Linked DNA regions of Xenopus tropicalis. The main gene of each other region encodes a partner of the protein of the gene in region 3 in a complex. Links are inferred from orthologs where the notes say so. Each region holds a gene or a part of one and is shown on either strand. Other genes may lie near its edges. The genes, in order: rictor, zfyve28 and rptor.

The links.
Region 1: rptor (region 3) and rictor share a complex: the UniProt entries of both Homo sapiens proteins name them as parts of the mechanistic target of rapamycin complex. The link is inferred for Xenopus tropicalis from reciprocal best matches to the Homo sapiens genes RPTOR and RICTOR.
Region 2: the proteins of rptor (region 3) and zfyve28 are in contact, whole or in part, in a cryo-EM structure (PDB 9F43), measured with the Homo sapiens proteins. The link is inferred for Xenopus tropicalis from reciprocal best matches to the Homo sapiens genes RPTOR and ZFYVE28. Residues at the interface, in NP_065812.1 of Homo sapiens: Arg54, Arg305, Arg306, Thr317, Asp321, Phe337, Arg338, Leu341, Ala344, Arg348, Leu437, Gln438, Leu440, Leu441, Ser442, Gln443, Arg446, Pro474, Tyr475, Lys478, Leu479, Gln481, Ser482, Ser483, Ala484; in NP_066023.2 of Homo sapiens: Arg399, Val400, Phe401, Phe402, Met403, Asp404, Asp405, Val406, Glu407.

What each region holds. Positions count from the first base shown.
Region 1 is NC_030677.2:196,993,366-197,003,436, reverse strand, and holds the start of rictor (rapamycin-insensitive companion of mTOR), read right to left. Parts: upstream 6,104-10,071; 5' UTR 5,870-6,103; coding exon 5,821-5,869; intron 1-5,820. UniProt on the Homo sapiens protein: Component of the mechanistic target of rapamycin complex 2 (mTORC2), which transduces signals from growth factors to pathways involved in proliferation, cytoskeletal organization, lipogenesis and anabolic output.
Region 2 is NC_030677.2:21,556,297-21,566,267, reverse strand, and holds part of zfyve28 (lateral signaling target protein 2 homolog), read left to right. Parts: intron 1-520; coding exon 521-610; intron 611-3,434; coding exon 3,435-3,524; intron 3,525-5,453; coding exon 5,454-5,555; intron 5,556-9,971. UniProt on the Homo sapiens protein: Negative regulator of epidermal growth factor receptor (EGFR) signaling. Acts by promoting EGFR degradation in endosomes when not monoubiquitinated.
Region 3 is NC_030686.2:26,902,497-26,912,467, reverse strand, and holds the end of rptor (regulatory-associated protein of mTOR), read left to right. Parts: intron 1-1,876; coding exon 1,877-2,001; intron 2,002-2,122; coding exon 2,123-2,227; intron 2,228-3,007; coding exon 3,008-3,055; intron 3,056-3,359; coding exon 3,360-3,466; intron 3,467-4,075; coding exon 4,076-4,203; intron 4,204-4,798; coding exon 4,799-4,885; intron 4,886-5,068; coding exon 5,069-5,185; intron 5,186-5,849; coding exon 5,850-5,979; intron 5,980-6,189; coding exon 6,190-6,258; 3' UTR 6,259-7,895; downstream 7,896-9,971. UniProt on the Homo sapiens protein: Component of the mechanistic target of rapamycin complex 1 (mTORC1), an evolutionarily conserved central nutrient sensor that stimulates anabolic reactions and macromolecule biosynthesis to promote cellular biomass generation and growth.

The DNA.
Region 1 (10,071 bases), on a different chromosome or scaffold from region 3:
GCATGGTCTATACATCTAAATAAGATACACACTTCACTAACATAAACTGTACGTTTGCTTCAGCAACTTAAACACAGTGTACATAAATAAGATGCTGTGTAGCCGTGGGGTAGAAATGCAAGTTGACTAGGGCTAGAGGGCACACATTTACATTGCACATAAGATCTGTAGAATATGATAACTTGTTTGTATGTGCTGCATGAACAGACACAAATGTTAGATATTAAATAAAAATCCCTTTAAGATGTTACTTCTTCATTAAACAGGGGAATAAATGTTAAGTGCCATTTGTTCCCAAGAAATAGTTTATTAGTTAATACAACACATGAATATTCTTTCCAAAACACACTAAAACAGTGTTCTCTAATTTGAACCAATTTGTGGGCAGATCCTTATATTTCATGACCAACCACAAAATGCCAATATGCCAGCTACCTGGGTCAAATATTGGTCTTTAAGTTAAACTAACTTTAGAGCATGATGCAAACAGTGATACTTTCAGTAGCTATCTAGTTGCTAGGATGCAGCAGTTTACCCTAGTAACCACTGCAATCCATTTTAACCAATGAATTTTTTAAAAAAAAATGAATTCCCTCTTCTCTTTAATAATAAAACAGTACCTTGTACTTGATCTCAACTAAGATATAATTACCCCTTATTGGGGGCAGAACAGCCCTATTGGGTTTATTTAATGGTTAAATGATTCCCTTTTCTCTGTAATAATAAATTAGTACCTGTACTTGATCCCAACTAAGATATAATTACCCCTTATTGGGGCAGAACAGCCCTATTGGGTTTATTTAATGGTTAAATGATTCCCTTTTCTCTGTAATAATAAAACAGTACCTGTACGTGATCCCAACTAAGATATAATTACCCCTTATTGGGGCAGAACAGCCCTATTGGGTTTATTTCATGTTTAAATGATTCCCTTTTCTCTGTAATAATAAAACAGTACCTGTACTTGATCCCAACTAAGATATAATTACACCTTATTGGGGGAAAAACAATCCTATTGGGGTTAATTAATGTTTAAATGATTTTTTAGCAGACTTAAGCTATGGAGATCCAAATTATGTTAGATCCTTTATCCAGAAACTCCCAGATCCCAGAGCTGTATTGTGTTTTACTTGCTGTGATCCAAAGTTTTCACAAAGAGAAGGCATATTCAGAGAAGTGACAAAACTGTACCAACCCCCTAAAGGTGAGCTACCAGGTTTGTGCTGAAGCTGAAAGCACTCAGGTATGGGACCTGCTATTCAGAATGCTCGGGCCTGGGGTTTTCCAGATAAAGGATCTTTCCATAATTTAGATCTCCATACCTTAAGTCTACTTAATAATCATTTCAACATGAAATAAACCAAATAGTTTTGCTCCCAATAAGGATTAATTATAACCTAATTTGGGATCAAGTACAGGTATTGTTTTATTATTACAGAGAAAAGGGAATCATTTAAACATGAAATAAACACAATAGGGCTGTTCTGCCCCCAATAAGGGGTAATTATATCTTAGTTGGGATCAAGTACAGGTATTGTTTTATTATTACAGAGAAAAGGGAATCATTTAAACATGAAATAAACACAATAGGGCTGTTCTGCCCCCAATAAGGGGTAATTATATCTTAGTTGGGATCAAGTACAATGTACTGTTTTATTATTACAGAGAAAAGGAAAATAATTTTTGTGGGACACAGCTATCCCATAATTCAAAGCTTTTATGATAATGGGTTTTGCCAGATAATGGATCCAGTACCTGTAACATGTATTTATAAAGCACCAACATATTCCACAGTGCTGTACAACAGAGGGGTGTATACATAAACACACAAATGACAGCAAGTGACCAAACAGCGTAGAAACAGAGAAGTCCATGGTCACTGCAGGAACCGGCCAAAAAAAAAGGAAACTTTTACAGCGCTTTTCTCAAAAACAGAAGTGACAAAAAAACATGAATGTGAATTGTGAAAGTGCTCATGGGAACATTTTGTGCACAATCACTTTCATTTTTAAGGAGGCGTTTTAATAAAAAAGCACACAGCCAACCATAATCACATACAGCAGGCTTACAACTGCAGTAAGTTGTCTAATAAGTGATAACGTTACAAAGCGAGAGGGCTAACAGAGGGTAAATGAATCAGCAGTCAGAACCCCATGAGATCACGCAGAGCACTGTCACAGCACAAAGATAAAAAAATGAGTCATGTTTGGTCTCAAAAACAAATACTTTTTTCTTTTGCTACAAAAGTCATGCCTTTATGTAACCAATGAGCAGCTTAAGACAGACATGTGGGATTTTTTTCAGTTCAAACCCACCGTGGAGGTCCAACCTTTGGTCAGTAACTACAGAAAACACTGCTGTATCACTCATTCAGCCATAGTTCCAGGAATATATAGGACAGCAAATGAGTTTGCATCTCACTAACTGACCTTCAAGCTGGGCTTTCAGGAGTGTCAAGAAGAACAAAGCAGCATTCTCCCCAAACTAACCTATATGTGGGGCCACAGGATCCAGCCCCCCCAGGGGCCACAGCCGCACAGTTTTGAAACCATGGGCTGAAGGCAAAACACCCAAACGACACATCACCTGTAAAACTGGGCATACCAGGGATGCACCAAATCCACTATTTTTGGTTTCGGCCGAACCCCGTATCCTTTGTAAAAGATTTGGCCAATTACGAAACTGAATCCATATTTGCATATGTAAATAAGGGCATGGAAGGGTTACATTTTTTACTTGTGTGTTTCGGTCACGTAAATTTTAAGGGTTCGGTAAAATCCCGAATTCGGTGCATCCCTGGGCCATTCACATACTATCATAAGAAAGGTATGTACAATATTTTGTACCTGCATGCTGAAATATTGGATCTGCCAATGCACAATAACTGCCAGGGCACGATGCATCGGCTAATGAGGAAGCGAAGGGGAGCAACATTTTCTTTTCACTTCCGCCTGTTCTGATCAGTTAATAGGCTCTGCCCAAACAATCTGTCAGCAATACTATATACATCAGTGCTGTCCAACTGGCGGCCCACGGGAATCAGCAGAAAGGATGATGGGGGGCTACTGGGGATATATTTGTAGGACCTGCTAAAGGGCTGTGGTTGCCTTGGGTTGGTAGAGAAGACCAAAACATAATGTACAACACTGTCTGGCCCTGACTAATGGCTCTCCAGGCTGTTTCTCCACGTGTGTATAAAAAGCAGATCTGCTCCCAACTTCACTGTGGTACAAGGGTACAGAAACAGGTGTTTTTCCTGTTAAACTCAATGATAAAGCATCATGGGCCACTTTCCTACCAGTGGAAATACCACCAGGTGCCTTATACCAGTAGCCACACCTACACATTTATTTTTACTTGACTTTTATCCACTATATATGAAGCACTGTGGAGGTATGGGATCAGTTATCCAGAAAGCTCCAAATTATGGGAAAGCCATCTCCCACAGACTCCATTCTAATCAAATAATTCAACATTTTAAAAAATATTTCCTTTTCTTATGTGAAAATAAAACAGTACCTTGTACTTAACCCCAGCTCAGATATAGTCAATCCTTATTACAGGCAAATCAATCATTTTTTTTTTTACTTGGTGGGAAACAAGTGACTAAGTAAGTCCTCATTATGGACCCAAATTATTTATTTTAACCTCTTTCAACCACAAACATGTTTTGAAAGCTATTATCACCCTACTGGAAAGGATGTGGGGTAATGCATGAATCTAATTCTTTAGCCCAGAAACACAAAACAACCTCTTTTCAAGAATAAAAAACACAGCGCAGTAATCGCACACAGACAGACACAAACATCACCCATTAAAACATATTTAGAAGAACTGAAAGGGTCTGCCGAGTTAGAGAAAGAAAAATGCTTTATACATTGCCCTATGGTAAATCTCCCAATAAGTATGTAAGGAGATTGGAGGTTTATTCCGCAAGGTAATGCTGACCTCTCTGGCAGCGAGAGAGCTACAATACTGCAACTTGCTGCTGGCTCATAGCGAAACCCTCAATACTGTATGATCAAAATTAAATGGTTACAGGCAGCTGCAGGTTTTTGGCTAAAAAAAAACAAATAAAAAGACAACAAACAAAGCTTTTTCTCTGGATAACACAACTAAGGAATCACATTTACTCTGCATAAGACATGGAAGGAAATATTACAGCGGACACGAGGAACTGCACAGTAAGATTTATGTAACAGCCTAAATAACCAAATAAACGTCCTGTTCCCATAGCCTGCTTATGCCTAGAGCCACTGCTGAACACAGTGACCTCTCGCTGCTCTACGCTAGGCCAGATTAGACTGCCGGCACACATACACAAACATCAATATGTCACAGCTCCCTGCCTGAGCCTGGGAGTGCAGCGCAAGCATACAGTTGGGAGAGCAGTTGTTTTGAAAGCAACGTGAATAGGTTCTCTCTAATGCTAAAGCTGAGGTGGGACTATCAAGCCTAAAGTTCTGCATCAGTATAAGCCCGTGGCGTAAGTGCAGCGACCACAGTTTTAGCTCATAGACATCTGAAGACATCTGAAGACAATTTCACAAGAGTTGTCAATAGCATGTGTACACCTGACTGGGTCCCAGCTCCCACCCCAGCAGCCACAGGGAGGACACCCCACCACTACAGTGAGCTATATATTCCCCACTGACAGTGTCTTGCAGGGAGTGGTCAGTCAACAACTGCTGGAAGGCAGCAAACAGGACATTCCTACTACACTGACTCATCTATTGCATTATGCTTTTTTTTTTATTAAAATGTTAAATATGTAAATGGCAGGGCATATGGCCCTATATGTTAGGTGCATTCCTGTTTGTCAGGGGGATCTGGCTACAGTTTGGTAGGAGGGCTGCTGGTTGGACACCAGTATTTTCTCTCTACTGTCACAGATGCTAAGACATGTATAGATGGGCCCCGAGCAATGCAGGCAGGTTGTGGCCCCCATCATACATAATAATGACAACATGCAACCCTCAGCTGTTTATAAACTACAACTCCCAGCATTCCCACAACAGTGCTGGGGTTTTACAAACAACAGACGGTGTTTATATAAAGCCTATCAAACAAAGAATTAGGCTAGAAATGCAGCCCCTTACACCTGGAGTTCATGTACCCCCCCTTACACCTGGAGTTCATGTACCCCCCCTTACACCTGGAGTTCATGTACCCCCCCTTACACCTGGAGTTCATGTACCCCCCCTTACACCTGGAGTTCATGTACCCCCCCAGCCCTTTGACAGTGAACCTCAGATACCACCACTAACTCCTCATATCCTTTTCTACTGCTTTACAGCATGGATCAATACCATTACCTGGCTGCAGTACAGTAAGTTTAATACACAAAATACAATTCATAGCCATCATTTTTAAGCTTTAGTTCTCCTTTAAATGTTATAAGAGACACTGTTCTCTACCTGTCCCCCCTAATGATGCCCAGGGCAATGCCCACTCTGCCCTGCCCTACAACTAGCCCTGGGTTTTCTGCAGGCCAGCCAACACACAGCCACTTTGTCTCATTGGGCCCCATACAAATGCAATCGCTTGGGGCCCATTAGTCAGAGTATACAGTACTGAGTACTAGTGTTCAAGGTCCCAATAATGACGTGGCTCCCCAAAGCCGCACCCCCGTCCCCCCATTTATGGGTGCCCTGCTGTTATCAGTATAGTTCCACTCTCTCCATCACCAGGGTATCCGGCTACCCCCTTTCCCAGAGCCCTGGGCAGCGCTACCAACCATTCCTTCCCTGCGTCCCCCACCTAGCCCAAGGCCAGAGCCCACACGGCCCCCATAAACAACAATGCCGGCAGTTGTATTACCTCTTAGCCTGAGGTGCCGGAGGGAGCGGGCGCGGATGCTGACCGCCATGATGCGCGGCTGGGAGACATTCACAACACCGGAAACCTCGGCCTTTCTCGCGAGATTACAGCACAGCAGGCGGGGTGAGTGGCTGCAGACTAGGGAAAGCCATTCCAATGAGGGGCGTGGGGTGGCGAGTTACTTTGTGTGTGGGCGAGCGTGCGATGAGCTCTGGGACACGGATGACGTTCTATTACTCGGAATTGCCACAGAAATACGTGGTGATATTAAGTTAATGGAGCTGAAAAATGGACGCTGCTATTCTGTTTGCTTCATGGGCACAAATAGGAGAGCGGCGGCCATCTTTGTTTCTGGCAGTCCGTTCACCTTACTATTCACCTCTTTACTTCATGGTTGTTGGCTAATCCCTGGTCATCGGTTAGATAATGATCCAGCCCTGGAATTTCTGAGCTCTTCTTAAAGGGGTAGTTCACCTACAATTGTTTTGTAGTATGTTGTAGAAAGATAGACCTCATGTTTGTATAGTCTGAAGTGTTTTTCATGGATTTATTATTTTCCTGTTCCTTCACATGGCAGGGGGTACAGGTTTCCATTGGTGCCCACTGCCATATTACAGTCCAGGAATCTTGGCAAGTATGATGTGATTTTCATTTTTCCTCTTCCTTCACATGGCAATGGGCACCAATGGAAACCTCTGCCACATGTTACAGTCCAGGGAATTAAAATCTTGGTAAGTTGATCCCAATGTTATTAATAGGGAAAATAGATAAATATATAGGAAGGCTGGTCATTTTTCCCACAAAAGGTGGCAACCCTAACTACCTTCCACTGATGTAAGCCTGAGGGGAGGGTTGTGGGACATCCAGCAGACCCTGAAATGTTTTTGAATAGAAAACGAATGAGAGAGTGCCGATATATATATATATATATATATATATATATATATATATATATATATATATAAAATTTATTGAAAACTCATTGTTTAAAAACAATGAGTTTTCAATAAAAAAAATTTTTTGAATTTTAAGGGTGTGCCGGCCATGGATTATTTCATGCTAAATACTCAGATTTTGGCTGTGCACCCCACAGAATACTAAAAGCCTTGGAGTGCAGACACCATCAGGACTGATATATATATATATATATATATATATATATACAGTGGCTTGCAAAAGTATTCGGCCCCCTTGAACTTTTCCACATTTTGTCACATTACAGCCACAAACATGAATCAATTTTATTGGAATTCCACGTGAAAGACCAATACAAAGTGGTGTACACGTGAGAAGTGGAACGAAAATCATACATGATTCCAAACATTTTTTACAAATAAATAACTGCAAAGTGGGGTGTGCGTAATTATTCAGCCCCCTTTGGTCTGAGTGCAGTCAGTTGCCCATAGACATTGCCTGATGAGTGCTAATGACTAAATAGAGTGCACCTGTGTGTAATCTAATGTCAGTACAAATACAGCTGCTCTGTGACGGCCTCAGAGGTTGTCTAAGAGAATATTGGGAGCAACAACACCATGAAGTCCAAAGAACACACCAGACAGGTCAGGGATAAAGTTATTGAGAAATTTAAAGCAGGCTTAGGCTACAAAAAGATTTCCAAAGCCTCGAACATCCCACGGAGCACTGTTCAAGCGATCATTCAGAAATGGAAGGAGTATGGCACAACTGTAAACCTACCAAGACAAGGTCGTCCAGCTAAACTCACAGGCCGAACAAGGAGAGCGCTGATCAGAAATGCAGCCAAGAGGCCCATGGTGACTCTGGACGAGCTGCAGAGATCTACAGCTCAGGTGGGGGAATCTGTCCATAGGACAACTATTAGTCGTGCACTGCACAAAGTTGGCCTTTATGGAAGAGTGGCAAGAAGAAAGCCATTGTTAACAGAAAACCATAAGAAGTCCCGTTTGCAGTTTGCCACAAGCCATGTGGGGGACACAGCAAACATGTGGAAGAAGGTGCTCTGGTCAGATGAGACCAAAATGGAACTTTTTGGCCAAAATGCAAAACGCTATGTGTGGCGGAAAACTAACACTGCACATCACTCTGAACACACCATCCCCACTGTCAAATATGGTGGTGGCAGCATCATGCTCTGGGGGTGCTTCTCTTCAGCAGGGACAGGGAAGCTGGTCAGAGTTGATGGGAAGATGGATGGAGCCAAATACAGGGCAATCTTGGAAGAAAACCTCTTGGAATCTACAAAAGACTTGAGACTGGGGCGGAGGTTCACCTTCCAGCAGGACAACAACCCTAAACATAAAGCCAGGGCAACAATGGAATGGTTTAAACCAAAACATATCCGTGTGTTAGAATGGCCCAGTCAAAGTCCAGATCTAAATCCAATGGAGAATCTGTGGCAAGATCTGAAAACTGCTGTTCGCAAACACTGTCCATCTAATCTGACTGAGCTGGAGCTGTTTTGCAAAGAAGAATGGGCAAGGATTTCAGTCTGTAGATGTGCAAAGCTGGTAGAGACATACCCTAAAAGCCTGGCAGCTGGAATTGCAGCAAAAGGTGGTTCTACAAAGTATTGACTCAGGGGGCTGAATAATTACGCACACCCCACTTTGCAGTTATTTATTTGTAAAAAATGTTTCGAATCATGTATGATTTTCGTTCCACTTCTCACGTGTACAACACTTTGTATTGGTCTTTCACGTGGAATTCCAATAAAATTGATTCATGTTTGTGGCTGTAATGTGACAAAATGTGGAAAAGTTCAAGGGGGCCAAATACTTTTGCAAGCCACTGTATACGTACACAAAGGATGGCACACCGCTACATAACATACCTCAATTGCTCGGTAAAGGGTTCCAATAGTCCAAAAAGACCAGCAACACCGGGATTTCTTGTGAAAAGTGAAAAACATATATTTTAAGTAACATGAACATCGGGACCTTTCTCAAGGCATGTGGAGAAAGGTCCCGATGTTCATGTTACTTTAAATATATGTTTTTCACTTTTCACAAGAAATCCCGGTGTTGCTGGTCTCTTTTACTATTTATATATATATATATATATATTTAGTCTCACTGAGAAGGAACTTTTTGGTTGAGCCCTGGAACAATCAGATGCTATTTCAAATTGCATTCTGGAAAGGGATAGTAAAAGAACTGAAAAAATAAAACAGTTAAACGCTGCTTAAAATGCTCAATATACAACATACTAGAAACAGGGCTGTATTTACCATATAGGCACTCAAATGCTAGTGTCTAGGGCAGGGATCCCAACCTTTTTAACCCATGAGCAACACTCAAATGTAGAAAGAGTTGGAGAGCAACACAAGCATGAAAAATGTTCATGAGGGTGCCAAATAAGGGCTAAGATTGGCTATTTGGTAGCTCCTATGTGGACTGGCAGCCTTAATGAGGCTCTGTTTGGCTTTACAACTGTTTTTTATACAACCTAAACATTCTTCCAAGCCAGAAATTAAAAAAATAAGCACCTGCTTTGAGGCCACTGGGAGCAACATCCAAGGGGTTGGGGAGCAACATGTTGCTCACAAACCACTGGTCATATAGTAGGCAACCCTCAAGTGACTATATGGTTAGAAAAAAAAAAGTCCCAAAGGAGTTGCTGGGTACATGCCAGTTGAATCCTGCAACACATGTAAGGGGGGGAAACATGGAGCCTCTGTGATGGTTGCATGTGTGTGTGCACACATGCGCTGATCGACACCTGAGGAGTAGATTGAGGATCAGTGACTTCCACAATACAGCCCTGAATCCCTATTGTGTGCATACCTTTAAATTAACTTTTGCAATTGGTTGTCATTTTTTTATTATTTACGGTTATTTAGCGTTTTGTTCAGTAGCTCTCCAGTTTGGAATTTCAGCAGCAAGCTAGTTGTTAGGGTACAATTTAACCTAGCAGCCAGGCAGTGGTTTGAAAGAGAGACATGAATAAAAATAGAGGAGGGCTTAAATAGAAAGACCCCCATTTGAAAGCTTGAAATGATCAGAAGAGGAAGGCAAACAACTCAGAAACTATAACAAGTAAAAAAATGAAGACCAAATGAAAACTTGTTAAGAATAGACCATTCTATAACTCTATAACATACTAAAAGTTAACTGGAAGGTGAACTTCCCTTTTAAACGGGTGTTCATCTTTATATCTGTAAATAAAGGTTTAGTAGGGTGTAGAATATATAGACCTAATCTAATTGACTTTTCCCATTACAGTAGTCTTCATTCTGCATGAATTTGTCTTTCTATTATTAACCTTCAGATTCTG
Region 2 (9,971 bases), on a different chromosome or scaffold from region 3:
CTGCCTATAGATTTGCCACATTAGTGCCACCTAGAACGCTATATTTATTCTGCAGAAAGCTTTATCATACCTGAGAAATGAACCCTAGAATCTCCCTCTGTTTGTTTAAGATTGCAGCCGCCATTTTAGCTTGGTCTCTGTGTAATCTGAGCACAGAGAGTTGGGAAAGGGAGCAAATTCTGATGGGAGGGGGAGCAGTAGAAGGGAGGGGGAGAGCAGACTCATGCCTGTACCCTAAAGGATTTTTCTGAGAGCAGGAAGTCTGACACAGAAGGACATGTGTACACAAAAGGAGACAAGAAATCCTGTGTTTCTTTTGATAGAGTGCAGCATTTCTGTGAGTGCTTATGGCTGTATTTACATAGACCTTTCTGCTAAAGTTTACTTAGTTGTTACCTTTCCTTCTCCTTTAAGTGTTCCGGTAACATGGTTCCATAACCTGTATAACAGAACTCTGCCTCCGATGTTGTACATGTTCCTAATTAGTAAAATGCTTAACAACCTTTTTTTCCCACTACAGCTACGTCTCTGCCATGGTACCTGTAAAGTCCCCAAAAGAATATTACGTACAGCAGGAAGTTATTGTTCTTTTCTGTGAAACTGTAGAAAGGTAGGTCACCCAGTGTGCCACAATGATACTATTCTGTCAAAAGGTTATTTCTGCAGTGTCTCAATGTACCCTCTCTGCAAGGCATTGTGTATGGGGGACAAACCACCACTTTTCCCTAAGAAACATTCTGCTTGGTCCAATCTCTTAGTTTTAATTTCCTGCAACTTGTTGGGGTGCTACTTTATCTCCTGAGCAATTGTATTTATGGTGTGCCAGACTCTTCAGGTTATACACAAGTAGCACCCCAACAAGCTGCAGGCCATTAAAAGTAAGAAATTGGACCAATCAGAACGTATCTAACATGCACTTTATCATTAAACTACATTCTACGAAGACTGCTGCCAGTTGAATGATTACCAGCTGAACATTAGCAATGCATTAATGTTTTACTAAGTCATGCTAATAACTAGCAAATGCAATATAAACAGGGAGAATTTCACCGGCACATTTTAGAGATGTAGAGCAAATTGTGTGGGCTAAGTCTGCCCAAAGTCCAAGGAGAATGGGATATAAAGGCCTGGAATTCCTGTAGCAGCTGTAGATATTCTTTCATGTAGAAGAGGGTTAATATTATGAGGTGGTCAGTAAAGTGGCACGCTACTAGGACAAAGGTGAGAAGACGGTGTTAATGAACTGAATGTAGAAGGCTTATAGCCTTACAAGACATGGGAAGAGGTAATATGCTGGGAGGCTGTGTAGCTGTAAGGCTAGGGATTTGGTCCCCCAAAAACATGGAGAAACATGTGGCACTAGTAGGCAAAGAGATAACCAATGTTTTGATCCTGTTTGGATCATTGATTATTATCCTATATTGGTGATGTAGAATATCCATTACTCCCCTTTGAAGTGTGCTCCTGTTGTCCAACATAATTTTTAAAAATACCGGCAGATAGACAGCCATAGAAGATAGACAGTTAGGTAGGCAGAGAAGTGGTCAGCATTTGGGTAGGGTGCCAGATAGGTACTGTAGTCAGACAGACAGGGGGCCTGACTCTATCAAATAATGCCTCTGGTAGCCATTTTTAGGTAGTCAGGCAGACAGACAGGTGGCCTGGCTTTATCAAATAATGACTCTGGTAGCCATGGTTAGGTAGCCAGGCAGACAAGAGGCCTGGCTTTATCAAATAATGCCCCTGGTAGCCATGGTTAGGTAGGTTGGCAGACAGGGTGCTTGGCTCTATCAAATAATGCCCCTGGTAGCCATGGTTAGGTAGGCAGGCAGACAAGACGACTGGCTCTATCAAATAACGTCTCTGGTAGCCTTGGTTGGGTAGGCAGGCAGACAGGGGGTCTGGCTCTATCAAATAACGTCTCTGGTAGCCATGGTTGGGTAGGCAGGCAGACAGGGGGTCTGGCTCTATCAAATAACGTCTCTGGTAGCCATGGTTGGGTAGGCAGGCAGACAGGGGGTCTGGCTCTATCAAATAACGTCTCTGGTAGCCATGGTTGGGTAGGCAGGCAGACAGGGGGCCTGGCTCTATCAAATAATGCCCCTGGTAGCCATGGTTAGGTAGGCAGGCAGACAGGGGCCCTGGCTCTATCAAATAACGCCCCTGGTAGCCATGGTTAGGTAGGCAGGCAGACAGGGGCCCTGGCTCTATCAAATAATGCCCCTGGTAGCCATGGTTGGGTAGGCAGACAGACAGGGGGCCTGACTCTATCAAAAAATGCCCCTGGTAGCCATGGTTAGGTAGGCAGGCAGACAATGAGTTAGGTAGCCAGGCAGGTGGTGGGATTAGATGTGCAGACAATTGTACCTTATGCAGAGGGCAGGCAGAATGTGGCACAGAGACACTGGGGGGGGGGGGGGGGGGGGGGGCAGCATTAACAGTGAGGAAAGTTTCCATTGTAACCTCATATTACATTAACCTAAACTGTCCAGCATTACAAGGGATTATCATTAGCTGCTGAGACCTCTTCTTGGGCCTACAGATTACACAGTCTAGTTCAGAAAGGTCAATTCATTTAATACATGTAATTGAATTATTTCTGGCAGAGAAGAGTATTTCGCTCCTCGCAGTCCCTGTATTATTTATTGTAGAGCACAGATCTAATCTTGTTATAGACGAGTATAAAGAGCTTAGCCGTGCCAGCTTATTGTTCCCATCCTCCATAGAATACCCTTCCCCTGCCCGTGCCAAGTGATTCTTAGCTCTCAAGGCGGGTTTCATTTTTGACGGCATATGTATGTATAGGATAGCGGCAATTTGCCCAGCTCAAAGCCAATTAGGTGAAAATGGCAGAACTGGTTGAAAATCACCAGTGGTTTTTATTTACTTACTTATTTATTTATTTATATAGTTATTTATTTTGCTTCTCGCCAGTTCCCATTGGGTTGCAGTTTGGGGAACATCTCCCCTCAGCCTAAAGGTGTTGAAGCCTGGGTCCATCTGATTAGTATGTGTGGCAAATGCTGGGATATCGTGCTGTTTGGCCATTTACACCCATGAGTAAATAGCATTGTTCTGTTGGTTTCGCCAACATCTGAACAAACTGACCCTCTGGAAGTAAGGGGGGCCTGAGGCTCCTCTCCATTCCTTATTTACCAATGCACCAAGTCTTGCCAAGAAGGGTCATCAACATATGAAATTTTGAGACAGACAACTGTGATCATGGCGGGATTGCAAACTTGTCTTGCCGCTTACGTGCACAGATGATTGGACGATATGGTCAGGAGTGCCCAGTGGCTATAACTCATGGCTCTGCTGAAACGTGGACAGATCTTTGACTTGCAGAATTTGATTGTGTCGTGTAGAATTATCAGTGTCTATTATATGATATATTATAACCTTATATTTTCTTTTGTTGTATGTGCTTGGAACAGAGCCTTAAAGCTTGGATACCTCACACAAGATATGATCGATGATTATGAACCAGCATTAATGTTTACAATCCCAAGACTTGCCATTGTGTGGTAAGTATGGCCATTACTGCAGTACAGTGAGGGATGAATAGGGTTGCACTGGGGTAACCAGCACTGCAATTACCTGGAAAGGTGTATGTCTGCACTGTATTTGCTCCAGAAACCCTACTATAGTTTATATAAATACCCGGCTGTGTAGCCCCGGGGGCAGCCATTCCTGCACTGGTACAGCTGGGGTGTTTGCTACAGAAACCCTACTATAGTTTATATAAATACCCTGCTGTGTAGCCCCGGGGGCAGCCATTCCTGCACTGGTACAGCTGGGGTGTTTGCTACAGAAACCCTACTATAGTTTATATAAATACCCTGCTGTGTAGCCCCGGGGGCAGCCATTCCTGCACTGGTACAGCTGGGGTGTTTGCTACAGAAACCCTACTATAGTTTATATAAATACCCTGCTGTGTAGCCCCGGGGGCAGCCATTCCTGCACTGGTACAGCTGGGGTGTTTGCTACAGAAACCCTACTATAGTTTATATAAATACCCCGCTGTGTAGCCCCGGGGGCAGCCATTCCTGCACTGGTACAGCTGGGGTGTTTGCTACAGAAACCCTACTATAGTTTATATAAATACCCCGCTGTGTAGCCCCGGGGGCAGCCATTCCTGCACTGGTTCAGCTGGGGTGTTTGCTACAGAAACCCTACTATAGTTTATATAAATACCCCGCTGTGTAGCCCCGGGGGCAGCCGTTCCTGCACCGGTACAGCTGGGGTGTTTGCTACAGAAACCCTACTATAGTTTATATAAATACCCCGCTGTGTAGCCCCGGGGGCAGCCGTTCCTGCACCGGTACAGCTGGGGTGTTTGCTACAGAAACCCTACTATAGTTTATATAAATACCCCGCTGTGTAGCCCCGGGGGCAGCCGTTCCTGCACTGGTACAGCTGGGGTGTTTGCTACAGAAACCCTACTATAGTTTATATAAATACCCCGCTGTGTAGCCCCGGGGGCAGCCATTCCTGCACTGGTACAGCTGGGGTGTTTGCTACAGAAACCCTACTATAGTTTATATAAATACCCCGCTGTGTAGCCCCGGGGGCAGCCATTCCTGCACTGGTACAGCTGGGGTGTTTGCTACAGAAACCCTACTATAGTTTATATAAATACCCCGCTGTGTAGCCCCGGGGGCAGCCATTCCTGCACTGGTACAGCTGGGGTGTTTGCTACAGAAACCCTACTATAGTTTATATAAATACCCCGCTGTGTAGCCCCGGGGGCAGCCATTCCTGCACTGGTACAGCTGGGGTGTTTGCTACAGAAACCCTACTATAGTTTATATAAATACCCCGCTGTGTAGCCCCGGGGGCAGCCATTCCTGCACTGGTACAGCTGGGGTGTTTGCTACAGAAACCCTACTATAGTTTATGTAAATACCCTGCTGTGTAGCCCCGGGGGCAGCCATTTAAACTGAGATCGGAATAAATGCCACAGGTTACATAGCAGATAACATTAGCTCTGTAAAACACCATTGTACCCTACAGAGCTTATCTGGTATCTTCTATGTAACCTGTGCCTTTTTTTCCTTTGCCCCCAGGGCTACACAAGAGGGTATTTCTATAAACTATAGTAGGGTTTCTGAAGCAAACACACAACTTTTACAAGTACAGGGCAACATTACGTTATATTTTAATAACTTTGATACACTTTTTTGGTGTTACTGTTCCTTTAAGACAATTTTCATGGTCTTTAAAAAGGAAAATTTTGGGCTTGTGACTCTGCATTAGTGCATGAAAGTATTTTTTGGTGTTCTTTTGCCCTTTAGCAAGTTTGATCTGTGAGCAGCTGTGTAATTGAATGGGGAGCAGCCTCCGCTGGGGCATTGTCTGCATGCTGACAGCCTACCCAGTGTGCCCTTGCCCTAAAGTCACTAAGCCGATTCTGTGATCTGTAATCAGTCCAATGCCCTTTGTTATCCATACAGTGGTCTTGTCGTTTACGCTGAAGGACCGCTCAACCTCGAACGCAAACCTGAAGACATGTCTGAACTGTTTCGGCCTTTCCACACCCTGCTAAGGAAAATAAGGTAAATGTTTGGTTGATAGGAGATGGAAGATACAAACGGAATGCATGACCTGAAGTCCTTTGGTAGTGGGAGAACGTATCTCTCTGCCGCGCTGTATAACTGTGCCAGCGCTAATTACACAAAGGATAACTAATAGTAAATACAAATACATTTTTCCTCAGCCTGCCCACAATTCCCTGTACTCGTGATATCAATAAGGAAAGGAATATCGCAGTGCAATGCATTGTGGGTTTTGTAGGTGAATGCTGTCTGTACTCTGTGGAGAAGTGTTTTAGGGACTAAACTGTTTTAGTCCCTCCTCCCCTGCAAGGATATTTTTGCAGCTGAATTTTATCATATAAAAATGGTATTTATTCATACTTTTAAAAGGAACAGATTACAGATATTTAAACAGTAATTAACCCTAATAGGCTTGTTTTGCTTCTAATAAGGATTAATTACACCTTAGTTGGGATCAAGTACAGGTACTGTTTTATTATTACAGAGAAAAGGGAACCATTTAACCATTAATTAAACCCAATAGGGCTGTTCTGCCCCCAATAAGGGGTAATTATATCTTAGTTGGGATCAAGTACAGGTACTGTTTTATTATTACAGAGAAAAGGGAATCATTTAACCATTAAATAAACCCAATAGGACTGTTCTACCCCCAATAAGGGGTAATTATATCTTAGTTGGGATCAAGTACAGGTAATGATTTATTATTACAGAGAAAAGGGAATCATTTAACCAGTAAATAAACCCAATAGGGCTGTTCTGCCCCAATAAGGGGTAATTATATCTTAGTTGGGATCAAGTACAGGTACTGTTTTATTATTACAGAGAAAAGGGAATCATTTAACCATTAAATAAACCCAATAGGGCTGTTCTGCCCCAATAAGGGGTAATTATATCTTAGTTGGGATCAAGTACAGGTACTGTTTTATTATTACAGAGAAAAGGGAATCATTTAACCATTAAATAAACCCAATAGGGCTGTTCTGCCCCAATAAGGGGTAATTATATCTTAGTTGGGATCAAGTACAGGTACTGTTTTATTATTACAGAGAAAAGGGAATCATTTAACCATGAAATAAACCCAATAGGGCTGTTCTGCCCACAATAAGGGGTAATTATATCTTAGTTGGGATCAAGTACAGGTACTGTTTTATTATTACAGAGAAAAGGGAATCATTTAACCATGAAATAAACCCAATAGGGCTGTTCTGCCCACAATAAGGGGTAATTATATCTTAGTTGGGATCAAGTACAGGTACTGTTTTATTATTACAGAGAAAAGGGAATCATTTAACCATGAAATAAACCCAATAGGGCTGTTCTGCCCCCAATAAGGGGTAATTATATCTTAGTTGGGATCAAGTACAGGTACTGTTTTATTATTACAGAGAAAAGGGAATCATTTAACCATTAAATAAACCCAATAGGGCTGTTCTGCCCCCAATAAGGGGTAATTATATCTTAGTTGGGATCAAGTACAGGTACTGTTTTATTATTACAGAGAAAAGGGAATCATTTAACCATTAAATAAACCCAATAGGGCTGTTCTGCCCCCAATAAGGGGTAATTATATCTTAGTTGGGATCAAGTACAGGTACTGTTTTATTATTACAGAGAAAAGGGAATCATTTAACCATTAAATAAACCCAATAGGGCTGTTCTGCCCCCAATAAGGGGTAATTATATCTTAGTTGGGATCAAGTACAGGTACTGTTTTATTATTACAGAGAAAAAGGAAATCATTTTTAAAAATGTGAATTATTTGATTACAATGGAGTTTATGGGAGCTGGCCTTTCCGTAATTCAGAACATTCTGGATAAGGGGTCCGATACCTGTATTAGGGTTTTTTTGTGTTGAGAATGTTTAGCCCCATTGAAAATAATAAGTATCATATGAATTTGATGCATTCAATTTTTTAAAATTCAATCAAGTCTTTTATATTCAAATGTTTTAATAAATCAATAAATTTTGGTCAATTTTCGAGTTTATTGGAACTGAAAAAAAAACCTCTAATATTCGCAAATTCTAAAATTGATAAATAAGCCAAAGTATCAAGGTAGATATGCAGCTGTATTTGCACATATGCTTCCCCCCCCTTGTCTCGCACATCAGCAATTAATTATTTCCATGATACAGGTATGGGATCCCTTATCCGGAAACCCCTTATCCAGAAAGTTCTGAATTACTGAGAGGCCATCTCCCATTGACTCCATTACAAGGAAATAATTTAGATTTTTGAAAATGATTTCCTTTTTCTCTGTAATAATAAAACAGTACACAGTACAGATTCCCTTTTCTCTGTAATAATAAAACAGTACCTGTACTTGATCCCAACTAAGATATAATTACCCCTTATTGGGGGCAGAACAATCCTATTGGGTTTATTTAATGGTTAAATGATTCCCTTTTCTCTGTAATAATAAAACAATACCTGTACTTGATCCCAACTAAGATATAATTACCCCTTATTGGGGGCAGAACAGCCCTATTGGGTTTATTTCATGGTTAAATGATTCCCTTTTCTCTGTAATAATAAAACAGTACCTGTACTTGATCCCAACTAAGATATAATTACCCCTTATTGGGGGCAGAACAGCCCTATTGGGTTTATTTAATGGTTAAATGATTCCCTTTTCTCTGTAATAATAAAACAGTACCTGTACTTAATCCCAACTAAGATATAATTAATCCTTACTGGAGGCAAACAAGCATATTGGGTTAATTCAATATTTAAAAGATTTTTAGCAGACTTAAGTTATAGAGATCTAAATTACGGAAAGACCCCTTATCCGGAAAACCCCAGGTCCCGAGCATTCTGTATAACAGGTCCCATACCTGTAATAGGAGAAGGAATCTGCAGGAATAGGTTGAGTAAAGCCAAGGGGAGGTTATTGGATGGGCCAGGCAGGTATGAGCCTTACACAGTATATTAACCTGCCTATATCCCGGCCTATCTATAGTCTCAGCCTCATTCGCTGGAAGTGCTGCTCCGGCCCCGCCGTGTCGCTCTATTCCTGCTCACAGATCGTTTTCCAGCTCACGTTAGAGACTGTTTTCCAGCATTCAATTACAGCCAAGGAGAAAAGTGTTTGTGAGAATAATCTTCCTGTCATAAAAGAAGATACAGTTCAGGCCGCCACCAAATCTGCAGCAATCTGCGCTTTTGTAGGGGTTTTTTTTTTTTACTTTTTGTGCGCTGTAATTCTCCTGAAAAATAGGCTTGAGAGGGTATTGTTTAGGAACAGGGCGACAGTTTAATTACAGATATCCTTAGCTATGAGGAATGAAGCCTCTGTCAGGCAATGAAGCAAATGGAAATTCAGCCTAAGATTAAAGGGGAACAGCACACATTTTATTGTTATTTTAAGCTCTTAACATACATTAATTAATACAGGAATGGGAACTGGGATTTCCGGATAAGGGATCTTTCTGTAATTTCGATTTCCATACCTTGAGTCTGCTAAAAATCATTTAAATATTAAATAAACCCAGTACGATTGTTTTGCCTTCAATAAGGATTAATTATATCTTAATTGGGATTAAGTACAGGTACTGTTTTATTATTACAGAGAAAAGGGAATCATTTAACCATTTAATTAACCCAATAGGGCTGTTCTGCCCCCAATAAGGGGTAATTATATCTTAGTTGGGATCAAGTACAGGTACTGTTTTATTATTACAGAGAAAAGGGAATCATTTAACCATTAAATAAACCCAATAGGGCTGTTCTGCCCCAATAAGGGGTAATTATATCTTAGTTGGGATCAAGTACAGGTACTGTTTTTTTATTACAGAGAAAAAGGAAATTAATTTTAAAAAGAATTATTTGTTTATAATGGAGTCTATGGGAGATGGCCTTTCCATAATTCGGAACTTTCTGGATAACTGTTTTCCATATAAGGGATCCCATACCTGTATTAATATTTATAAAATAGTGATGCATGGCTCGGGCTGACCAATTGCCCCTGCAGCAGGTGTGAGTTGGAATTTGTGTGAATTATGGAACATGTTAGAGGCCAGCTTTCCACATAAGAGACCAGCTTGCCACCAGAAGCCAGATTTCACTGGGTATTCCCCCGGGCTCCTGCTAGGCCCAATTCTGCCTGGACTTTTTCAAACCTGCATCGCTTCAAATGCCTCTTCTGGGCCTAATTTATGCCAAGAGAGATAAGTGCTGTCACCCCAATAAACTCAATGGATAAAAGAGAATGTTTGTGCGCTATCAACTGCCAGAATAACACAAAGCAGGCCCCTGGCTCTGCCTCCAACCCTACATTATCAGTCACCTACCATCCGCTGGAGCCAGCATCTTTACTAAGAGAAGATAAGACAGAAGCCTTGTATAGTCTCATATTTAACACAAACCACATAGTAATTACTCAAAGAACAGCCTGACAGGATAAAACCATTATAAACCA
Region 3 (9,971 bases):
AATGTCACTTTGTGTCAGGGAAAGAATGTAGATAGTGTAGCTGGTCGGAAGCAGATGTGGAGAGACTTTACCCGTTTCATTGCAAACAGCTACTTCTTCAGAAATGGCCACTGTATACCATGAGATATATAAAGCCTGCCTCTCGCCTGCCCAGGTTTCAGCATGACTTTTTTATAATGTTTATCAATAAAGATAAGTGATTTTTGATCGCAATGGATTTTGCAGTCATGAATGTTCGGTGCTCCTTATTCTTACCAGTTTATTCCGGGGAAATATTCCATCCTTCAGTCTGACTGGCAGATCTCTGCAGTGTGTTCTCTGGGGAATGTCACTTATTCTTTTAGCACCTTATTAATTGATGTCGGTATTAGCCAATTGCTAAAATGTGCATCACCATTGCAATACCTGTGGCAGTTCAGCATAACTGTCCAACACATTTACTAATTTAATTACAGTGTGTTACGTTGCTCCACTTAGCTACACGTCTTCTGTTAACAGGGAGAGGGAGCAGCTGCACCAGAGCTTGTTTAACATTAAAATGAACACCCCTCTGGCCAACAATTTTATTTTAGGTCAATCCACTGCTTGCCCTCAGTAAATGTTAACCCTAAAGGGAAAGGAAACACTCTGATCCCTCTCACCAAATGGACCTGAAAAGCAGAGTTGTACAGAGTTAGGCCATATTAAGGTGGCCATACATGTTAAGATCTGTTTGTTTGGTGAGAGGCACTGTTTTGCCTACCCACGGGGCTAAGAGGTAAGCTAAGTATTTTGCAACGCTGTAAGTCACTGATGCTGCTGACAATAGGCCTGAGTGTGGCTCCTTCCTTGTGTATCTTGGGGAGACCACATAAGCATGTGGTGGTTTCTCTGGGGTACAGGTGATAGTATAAAGCTCAATTGATGGCTTCCACCTTCTTAGGTTGTTGTCAGTAGTTTATCACCTTTTTCTTCTAACTGCTAATTGGGTCTTTCCTTAAAGGTTCACATGTATTGCTATCGCCGAGTAGCGTCGTCATTTTGCAGTGATAGTCAGTTGTGTTGAGCACAACCGTGCATTGCCCTTTATCTTCTGGTAGCATAGTCATTACTAAGAGATGTGAGAGCTCTCCTCTCTTGTATAGTAAGGTTTGAGGGAGGTGTTCTGACACTTGACAAGGCAGCTGACACTTTAAATTAGAGTTGTTCTGCTTTCTCCATTGGTATTGATGGCAGATTCTGTGGCTGTAATGAGCTCAACCACTGGGATGTGTTGTGAAGACACTGCATAGTTTCAGAACTCTCACAAGTAACACCTGTCTCTATGAGTTGCATGAAACCTTGGTAATCCTATCACAGTAACCCCACAGCATTCCCAACGTCTGTGAGTTTCAAGTGTCACCTCTCTGAAGAGTTACAATGTGCCATTGTGATTAGTGGAAGAGTATATATACTGAGAACTTCCTGTACCAGTCAGTTGAACTGAAGAAGCTGCTCGGATGAGTAGTGAAAGATCTTCAATGATTACTTAGCAAGTCCAGTTGCTCTAGATTTACTTATACTAGATATACCATGCCCTGGTTAAATAAAAACCTTCAGTACAATAAGCAGATCTCCTCCCAATATTCCCACTAAGTTGGGTGATATTGTGCTAATTCGATCATTTGTTTACCGGTCTGATGGGAAAACCAAACCTGCCCAGTCGCCACCTGGCCAATTTTCAGCCACGTATCAATCGGGGGGCCCATCGAGGGCCCCTACACAGGCTGAAATGTGGTTGTTGCTCACTGAGTGGCTAGTTTGCTCTACATCAGTTACGAATCAAATTGCAATATAACCACTTGGAGTTGGTAATAAAGTTGATCACAAGAACCATTCTATTTTTTCTATCTAACAGTTTCTGGGACTGGGAGAAAGGAGAGAAGCTGGATTACTTTCACAATGGTAACCCTCGTTATACTCGTATAACAGCAGTCGAATATCTGAATGGCCAAGATTGCTCTTTGCTGCTTACTGCTACAGGTTAGACATCACTTTAAACTTGGAACTCTCTCGAGAGCAGTGTTTTTCTTTCCAACTTTTTTCTTCTTCACTGTCCAGTTGTAAATATGCTGGCCCAATAACTTCACCTCTGTGCCTGCAGATGATGGAGCCATCCGCGTGTGGAAGAACTTTGCTGACTTAGAGAAAAATCCAGAGATGGTGACAGCTTGGCAGGGACTGTCCGATATGCTGCCGACCACACGAGGTCAGTTACATAGACTTCCATAGGAAGTAGGATGCGCTCACAGAAGTCATATACACGTTTACTTGTGCATCCCCTACTTTTACCTTGCTAAGTTCTTACTTTCCTCAGAGCTTCAAACCCCACATTTAGCAGAATCTTTCATAGGTCTTAAAATCATACACTTTGTATTCTTTTGGTGTCTTGATCTTACAATAATCTTTTGTTTAATGAAATCTTAGCAGACATGTACATTTGTGTAGCTTGATAATCTGCACCGTGCATGAGCAACCTGTGGTCCTTTGGGGGTCTTTATTGTAAAAAAGTATCTCTAACAATTGAAGTCATTTATTGAGGTGTCTGGGAGCTGTAGCCCTACAACAGCTAAAGGGTTTCTAATTATGGGGATTTCCATTGTCCATCCATTCTGAAATCTTTTGTTAGTAGAACATATTTGATGGCCTTTTCCCCCCCTCTGTTACATGAAAATTCTATCCAAATTGATATTGTGTAACTGTATGTTTAACACTTCAGCAAAATGAACTAACTTTCTGGTGTAAATCTTTCTAAAAATGGAAATAAAAGCAGCCTGTGATTAGGTGTCATCATTTTATAAGTGGTTTCCTTATCTGCTAAAACATTGGCTGCTGCAATGTGTGTCATACCCTGTCCCCCCAGACACAACATAGCCATCTGGGTGTAACTTGCATTCCTAACTTTTGCCTTTCTTTGCTTCTGCCTGCTGCCTCCCTCCTTCCTGGTTTCTATCCCTGTCCCCTTCCCTATACCCTTTCAAACCCACAGGCCTGGCTCGAAGAGTTTCCATTTATCTTGACAGGAGTAAACAGGGGGGTAAGTTCTTCCTTCATTAGAAATCATCTGTATTTGACTATGGCATGTTTGTGCATACACAAGTGAATGTACACAGGAAAACATTTCTGTATTGTGCTTGTGTGATATGTGCAAAATAAAAATCTGACCAAACCTTGAAGAGTTGGTTCTGCCTATATATTATAGACTAATATTTGAGTCTGAATGCAACTGATTATTCTTTGTCTTGCTAACGAACCAGCTCCAGAAGCCATTTATGCATGCAAGGTTCAAGAGCAGCGGTAACATAATGTAAGACTAATACGTTGGCATCTTTCTATCTTAGGGGCTGGCATGGTGGTGGATTGGGAGCAAGAAACAGGTCTACTCATCACATCTGGAGACGTGCGAATTATCCGGCTATGGGACACAGACAGAGAGACAAAAGTGCAGGTAAAACGTTAATAAGATTTCATGGCTACCATAGATTACAGATCAACTGTATCAATCCCACAACCATACAAACACATTCAAGTGAGATCACCACCCAAAAAATGTAATTAAAGGGAAATGCAAGTCTTGAGTAATTTTCCAATATACATTCATTACTTTTTATTAAATAGTTAAATAATTATTTGTAGTTGCAATTAAAAGCAACATTCAGGTATCCCTTTCTGTTCTCTGGCTCTGACATTGTAGCAAAAGTGGCCTTTTAATAAGCTGGCTTCTGCTACATTGTTCTAGAAGTTGGAAACAATAGTACTGAGAAATTGTAAATGGCCAGACAGTTCTCTAAAGCAATTACTTTAAAGCAAATGCAGATTTTAAATAAATATATATCAGAAAATTGTTTAGAATTACAGTGTCTTTCATAAAGTAAAAACAGTCTTATTAAACAATCTTAAAGTTCTATTAAAGAAGCACAAAGGCCTGCCATATGCAATCAGGGAACAGTTATTCTAACCTCTTTTCAAATGTCTTGGGATTGCAATGTGAAGATTTCCAGCATTTTGTCTCTATGGCCTCTATATACTCAGTATATTGATGTCGTTATTCTTTAAGGATATACCCACTGGAGCAGACAGTTGTGTGACCAGCCTGTCATGTGACTCTCATCGTTCCCTTATTGTGGCTGGACTCGGAGATGGTTCAGTGCGAGTGTTTGATCGCAGGATGGCACTGAATGAATGGTAAGATTTTGCTTCTTTCATTTATGGTAACAGGCTAGCTCCTTGTCTGCCCATGTGTGGCTGCCTTCTGTATTGCATCAAACATAACAGTCATTTGGATAATGAAGAGGGAAAAGTCCTGGCTAGAAAGACATGTAGTAAAAGGTAACACAGAGTACTAGTTTGTAGCTGCAAACTGATCTGCAAAAGAAGAAAACACATATCACCCTAAGAAATAATTCCTAATCCTATGTTGTCATTCTATTTAAGCAAAATAAACTTTACTTATACTGTATACATTATTTAAATCTTGTTTCCTTCATTTATTTGTAAGTCCACAATTATGGCCTACAGGCAGGCTTTTATGTTTTGTTTTATGGAGTCTGTTACCAAAACAGGCTTTGCGTTATCCCAATTTATGCTCCACAAATGAGGACTCGATGCACACATCCGTGCACAGGCTACTCAGTTACGTATACTGAGAAGGGCAGGGGGCATGTGAGAAGGTTTGTGACATCTATGCAGAAATAAAATTGAAAGTGTCCTTAAAGATTGATTCAGGCTATTAATGAGCATTATGTGACACTTGAGTTGTATTTCATGTTTTTTCTTACAGCCGTGTAATGACGTACCGAGAGCACTCAGCCTGGGTAGTAAAGACTTCTCTCCAAAAGCAGTCCGATGGGAATATTGTGAGCGTCAGGTACTTAGTTCTGCTAACAATAACTTGCTCTAATTGTGTTCTGTACTGTTTCGTTTGCCTTATGCAACATAGTATTGCTGAGCTAATCCTAAAGGAATCCTCAGACTTTGTATTTCCTAAAAATATGTTGTGCATGTCACCCAGTTGCACAGAGATGTCACATCCAGTCTTTCATTTTCACAGTGTAAATGGAGATATCCGTTACTTCGACCCTCGTATGCCAGAATGTTTAAACTCACTGCAGATTGTGAAGGGTCTTACTGCGTTGGATATCCACCCACAGGCTAACCTGTTTGCATGGTAATGTGTAGTGGCACGTACTTATTCTATAAATGCAGCGAGTGCTGGTTTCAGTTAGGTAAGGCTTGTCCAACTGAAGGCCCTCGGACCAGTTATGTTTCCCAAGCACATGTATCAGCCACTACCTGTCTATATACTTCATTTTAATCCTAATATAAACCAACCAATGAGCATGTTGGCATACTACCTGTAAAAAGACAGCAAATCAGGGAATACAGGCAAATTCCAAATCTGCTTTGGGTTTTTTTGTCTTTGTCTAGATGCTTGAACAAAACATGTTTGCTTGCAGTCGTGGAGATTTTGATTGTACTGGGTAATCTAAGCTAATTCGAACCAAGGGTGCAGTTTTACAGCATTTGATGAGCAGCCTTAGCTATAAAATCTGTCTTTGATCTGTCTTTATTAGATCATAATATTGCGTTCCAGGAGATCACAGACATTGTAAAATATAGTCCCATATAACAAGGTTATATCTGCTGTATCAGGGTATATTCTCTTTTTCTAAACTAAACTTGATTTAATCATAGAATAATTTTGTGCTACGATTTCTGTATGTTTTGAGGAGTATAGAAATACTGATTTATAATATAAAACTATATATGTTACTGCTTCACTGGAAATTAACCTGTTCACTTTCTCCTTGGAAATCTCCACTTTGTTTTAGTGGTTCAATGAACCAGTTCATCGCTATTTACAATGGAAATGGAGAGCTGATCAGCAACATAAAGTACTACGATGGATTTATGGGACAAAGAATAGGAGCCATTAGCTGCCTGGCCTTTCATCCTTACTGGGTTTGTGTCTCTATAATAAGGATTTTTATGGGTTCTGGTGCTTGAAAGGCGAGGAAAAAGGTTAAGACACCTGTGCAACAAAAGGCACAAGTGAACTTAATTGTTCTTATTCTGTGTAAGAGGTACTTGTACCTACAGTATACAGTGGGATGCTACTGGAAATGCCATATTAGACACCATTAATTTCTCATGTTCTCTCTCTCTCTGCAGCCCCACCTGGCCGTTGGCAGTAATGACTATTATATGTCTATTTACTCAGTGGAGAAGCGAGCGAGATAGCTGTTTGAAGGAGGTTTCCTCTAGGTCTTCGTCTCTTGCTGTGTATATAAGCGAACCATGGCCTCGAGTGATTTCATTGCTGCTTCTCAAAAAATGAAGAAAACTACTTTGAATGGACTAAGCTAATGAACCAATGAAATGACAATACAAGGCTTTTTTACTGCCTGTCTGCTGCCTCATTTCAATGCAAAATTACAATTTATCTCTGAGGTGGTGAGGGCATTAAAACATTTGCTATGCTCTTGAATTTGGAATGAAACACATTAGGCTTTAGCTGTGATTCCATAGTTTAAATCCCTTCCTTTCATGCTGCATGGACAGCTGATCCGCTGTCTCCTGTTTTGAAGACATCTCATGTTTTGACAAGACTCTTTAGAATGGTTATCTCCTACTTGGAAAAGACTGGGCCCTGCTTCAACCTATGAGGCCAAATAATTCCGTCCTCAACAGGTGCAACCAATTGCGTTTCTTTATGCAGACCTCCTGTAATAGTAAACCAATCAAACAAAAGATAGGAGTTAAATCTCTGGTGTTTAATGTTTGGCTATTTTGCAGATCATTTTCATGTTGGCCATCCTCTACGTTGACTAGGACGTTACTTGCAGCACTTATTTGCTCTTCACCCCATGTAGCTACAGAAATAGGTGAACATTTTTTTAACGGGCAAATTATTTATTTTATCCTAAAGAGAAGTATTTCAGTAACATTTACTATAAAGGGAGAAATCGTGCAATTCTTATTTTTTAAATATGCTATTGGAATTTCCATTTCTCCTGGTAAAAATTCCACAGTCACATAAAGCCCAGAGATCTGCAGAGTGTGCTTTGGTGTTTCCAAAAGTGGAATAAATTCTTTCTCATTCAATATTGTTAGCAATAAGACACATTTTATTCAAATTCTGGTTACTTTATAGAACGTCAGTACGTTGTGGGGCATTTCTATATCTATGATTGACAGTAAAATGTTGAATAATTTTGTCATCCATTGCTAGAAACCTTATAAATGAACGATCTATGCGCCAATGCAGGATAGATGTAAGAAAGTCTCATAACCTGTGTGGTGGAAATGGCATGTAATAGAGCCGGCGCTTAACCCTTGTCAGCACAGTCATTCTTTTTACTGCTCAGTTCATTCACAGAATTCTTGTTTATAAGATATATATATATAAATATATATATATATATGTATGTGTGTGTGCATGTCAGTGCTATGTACTGACACAAATACAATGGAAAGCATATACCCCATTTAGGCAACAGGGACCAGGTGCCATGTATAACTAAACTCTCTGTTGCAGGTTGGGGTATTGATGTTTACACTATTTTAACTCAGAATATGTGGTTTTAAAAGAAGGGAAAGGAGGGTTTTCCGAATTTCTGCTTTTAGCATCTTCCCATAGAGAGTTTAATGGCAGCGTTTTTTCCTGCTATATAAGATGTTGAACAGAAGGATGTACAATTCTCTAGTACTTAGGGAGGGGGTGCCCATAGGAAAACCCTTAAATGGCAGTCTTCTATCACTGAACTAAACAAATTGCTGACCAATTCTGTTAACACCACAAGCAGAGGAGAGGTTGTGGCATCCTCTGTGTGCATACAGGAATCTGGAGTGCTTTATTAAATATGAATAAACCCGAAGCTGTCTCTTAGTCATTATTGGAGTAAATACAACAAGGAGAAATGTGTGTGTGATTCCTTCTCATTTGTTTCAATTTGTAGCATTTCTTTCCTATTTTAGTACCGTAATTACAGTGGCCTGAGATGTTCTTGCTGCAACTGTAGCTGGGCACTTCCATGTGTGCATAAACTAATTGCTTTCCTCACATAAAGTGGCTAAACAAACTGTATTGAGATATAAATGTTAAGCAGGTTCTGTATTTACAGAGGAATTTAGGAATCATGTGATATATGTACAGGAACAAAATACACAAAAGACTGTATTCAGAATTTAATTTCTGTATAAAAAGAATAAGAATTAATGATATTTTTGTTTTGCTTAGGTATGGAAATGTATTCTGCTAGTAATGTCATTGGCTTTGGTAGCAATGAATTTTGAGGGCTCAGATATGTGAACCGAGCTTGAAGATTCAGTCGTGCCGAACTCTGACGCTGGAAGATGAGAGACTGCTGCTGAGTAGGAAGGTTAATATTTGTGAAGTTAGGATTATTAATATATTTATTTTTAAAGTACGATGGAATACATTAAACGAATAGAAAGGATAAGAGGGTCCTGCATGCTGTGTAGTGGCATTGGCTCCTTTGAAGAGTTGGGCCTTGATGAGTTTCTGAAGGTGGGTTCTGTATGTAGGCTGCGCGTGGTGGCAAGTAGTTATTCAGCTACAGCCACAGAGCTAATGTCCTGGGGGTTTTGCAGTTTCCTGAAGATTCATTTCCAAATTTCCCCTTAGACCTCAGTTGAGAATTAATAAGATTTTTCTCATCAACTGATTTTAATTTATGTAATGTTGCAACATCTAGAAAAATTAGGTGGGATATGTATAAAGTGCCAAATTTGGAAAGTGAAAAGGAATGGCTTTACTGTACGGAGGTGTTGGAGGGAAATCTACATCTACATAATGAATATTCTAACCCTGGTCTATTTATTGAAAGAATGTATCTTTCTTCCCTTAGATAGAGTAGTATGAGGGCACATTCACAAAACAAGTGTGGTGTCTCAGAACAAACTTGGATTGGTTGTTGTGGGTAATGTAGGCAATAAAAGAATGAAGGCGTTTGACCAGAATTGTGACTGGTTAATTATTATCCATATTAGAAATATATAGTCTTTACTTTGCTTTGACAACAAAGCTGTATAGGTTGGAAGTGCACCCAAAATAAGACGTTCTCTATTGAAAAGTCTACTAACAGTTGGGGCTAAAATATCATTTTTGGGTTTTTTTGTTTGCTTTGTTTCATTTGATAGTAGAGACCTGTCAACCCATTGGACCAGGATTCATAGCTGATTTCAAACTGACTGTTTTTTAGGTCAGAAAGTAGAGAAGGAAAGGCTAAATTACTGGGGGGGTGCCAGATGTTAGGCACCCACAGTGATGGTAATTGCTTACCCCTGGGCGGTGCTCCTGCTAGGAGAAAACTGCACCACCCCGGGGTATATGCAAGCGAGCGTTCCTCTTCCTTCTGTCTTCTTTCTTCAGAATCCTGGGGCCGACGCATGCACAGCTAAAAGAAAAAGACAGAGGTGCGAAGAATGAAGAAGGAGCGCTCGCCCACATACACTCCAGCCGGTGTACTTTTCTCCTAACAGGAGCACCGGCCGGGGGTTTCAGGTAAACAATTAAAACCATTGGGGGATGCCTAACATCTGGCACCCCCTCAGTGATGTAGCCTTTCCTTCTCTTTTAAGTCTCCACTAAAAGATTTTCAGTTTGAAGTCAAGAGAGTGAACATATTAGACACTTAATCATCGTCACAGCACGGAATGCGTGAGGCTTTTTATGGACATATAATTATTCTGCAGTAAAGATACATTGATTTTAACAGATTAAGTAGAAGCAGAAGAATAAGCTGAAGTGGAAGAACAGTATGTTGGGTTTTCAGACCAACATAATTACATGAAAGCAGTCATATCTTGTGATATAAATCATGTTAATCATGATTATTTGTGAACGGAAAAAAAAAGTCTTGTAATTATTCCAGTTTCTCCAGGTCTCTGCTACAGAGTGATTGTAATAATGTCGTTAAGGCTAATGTCAG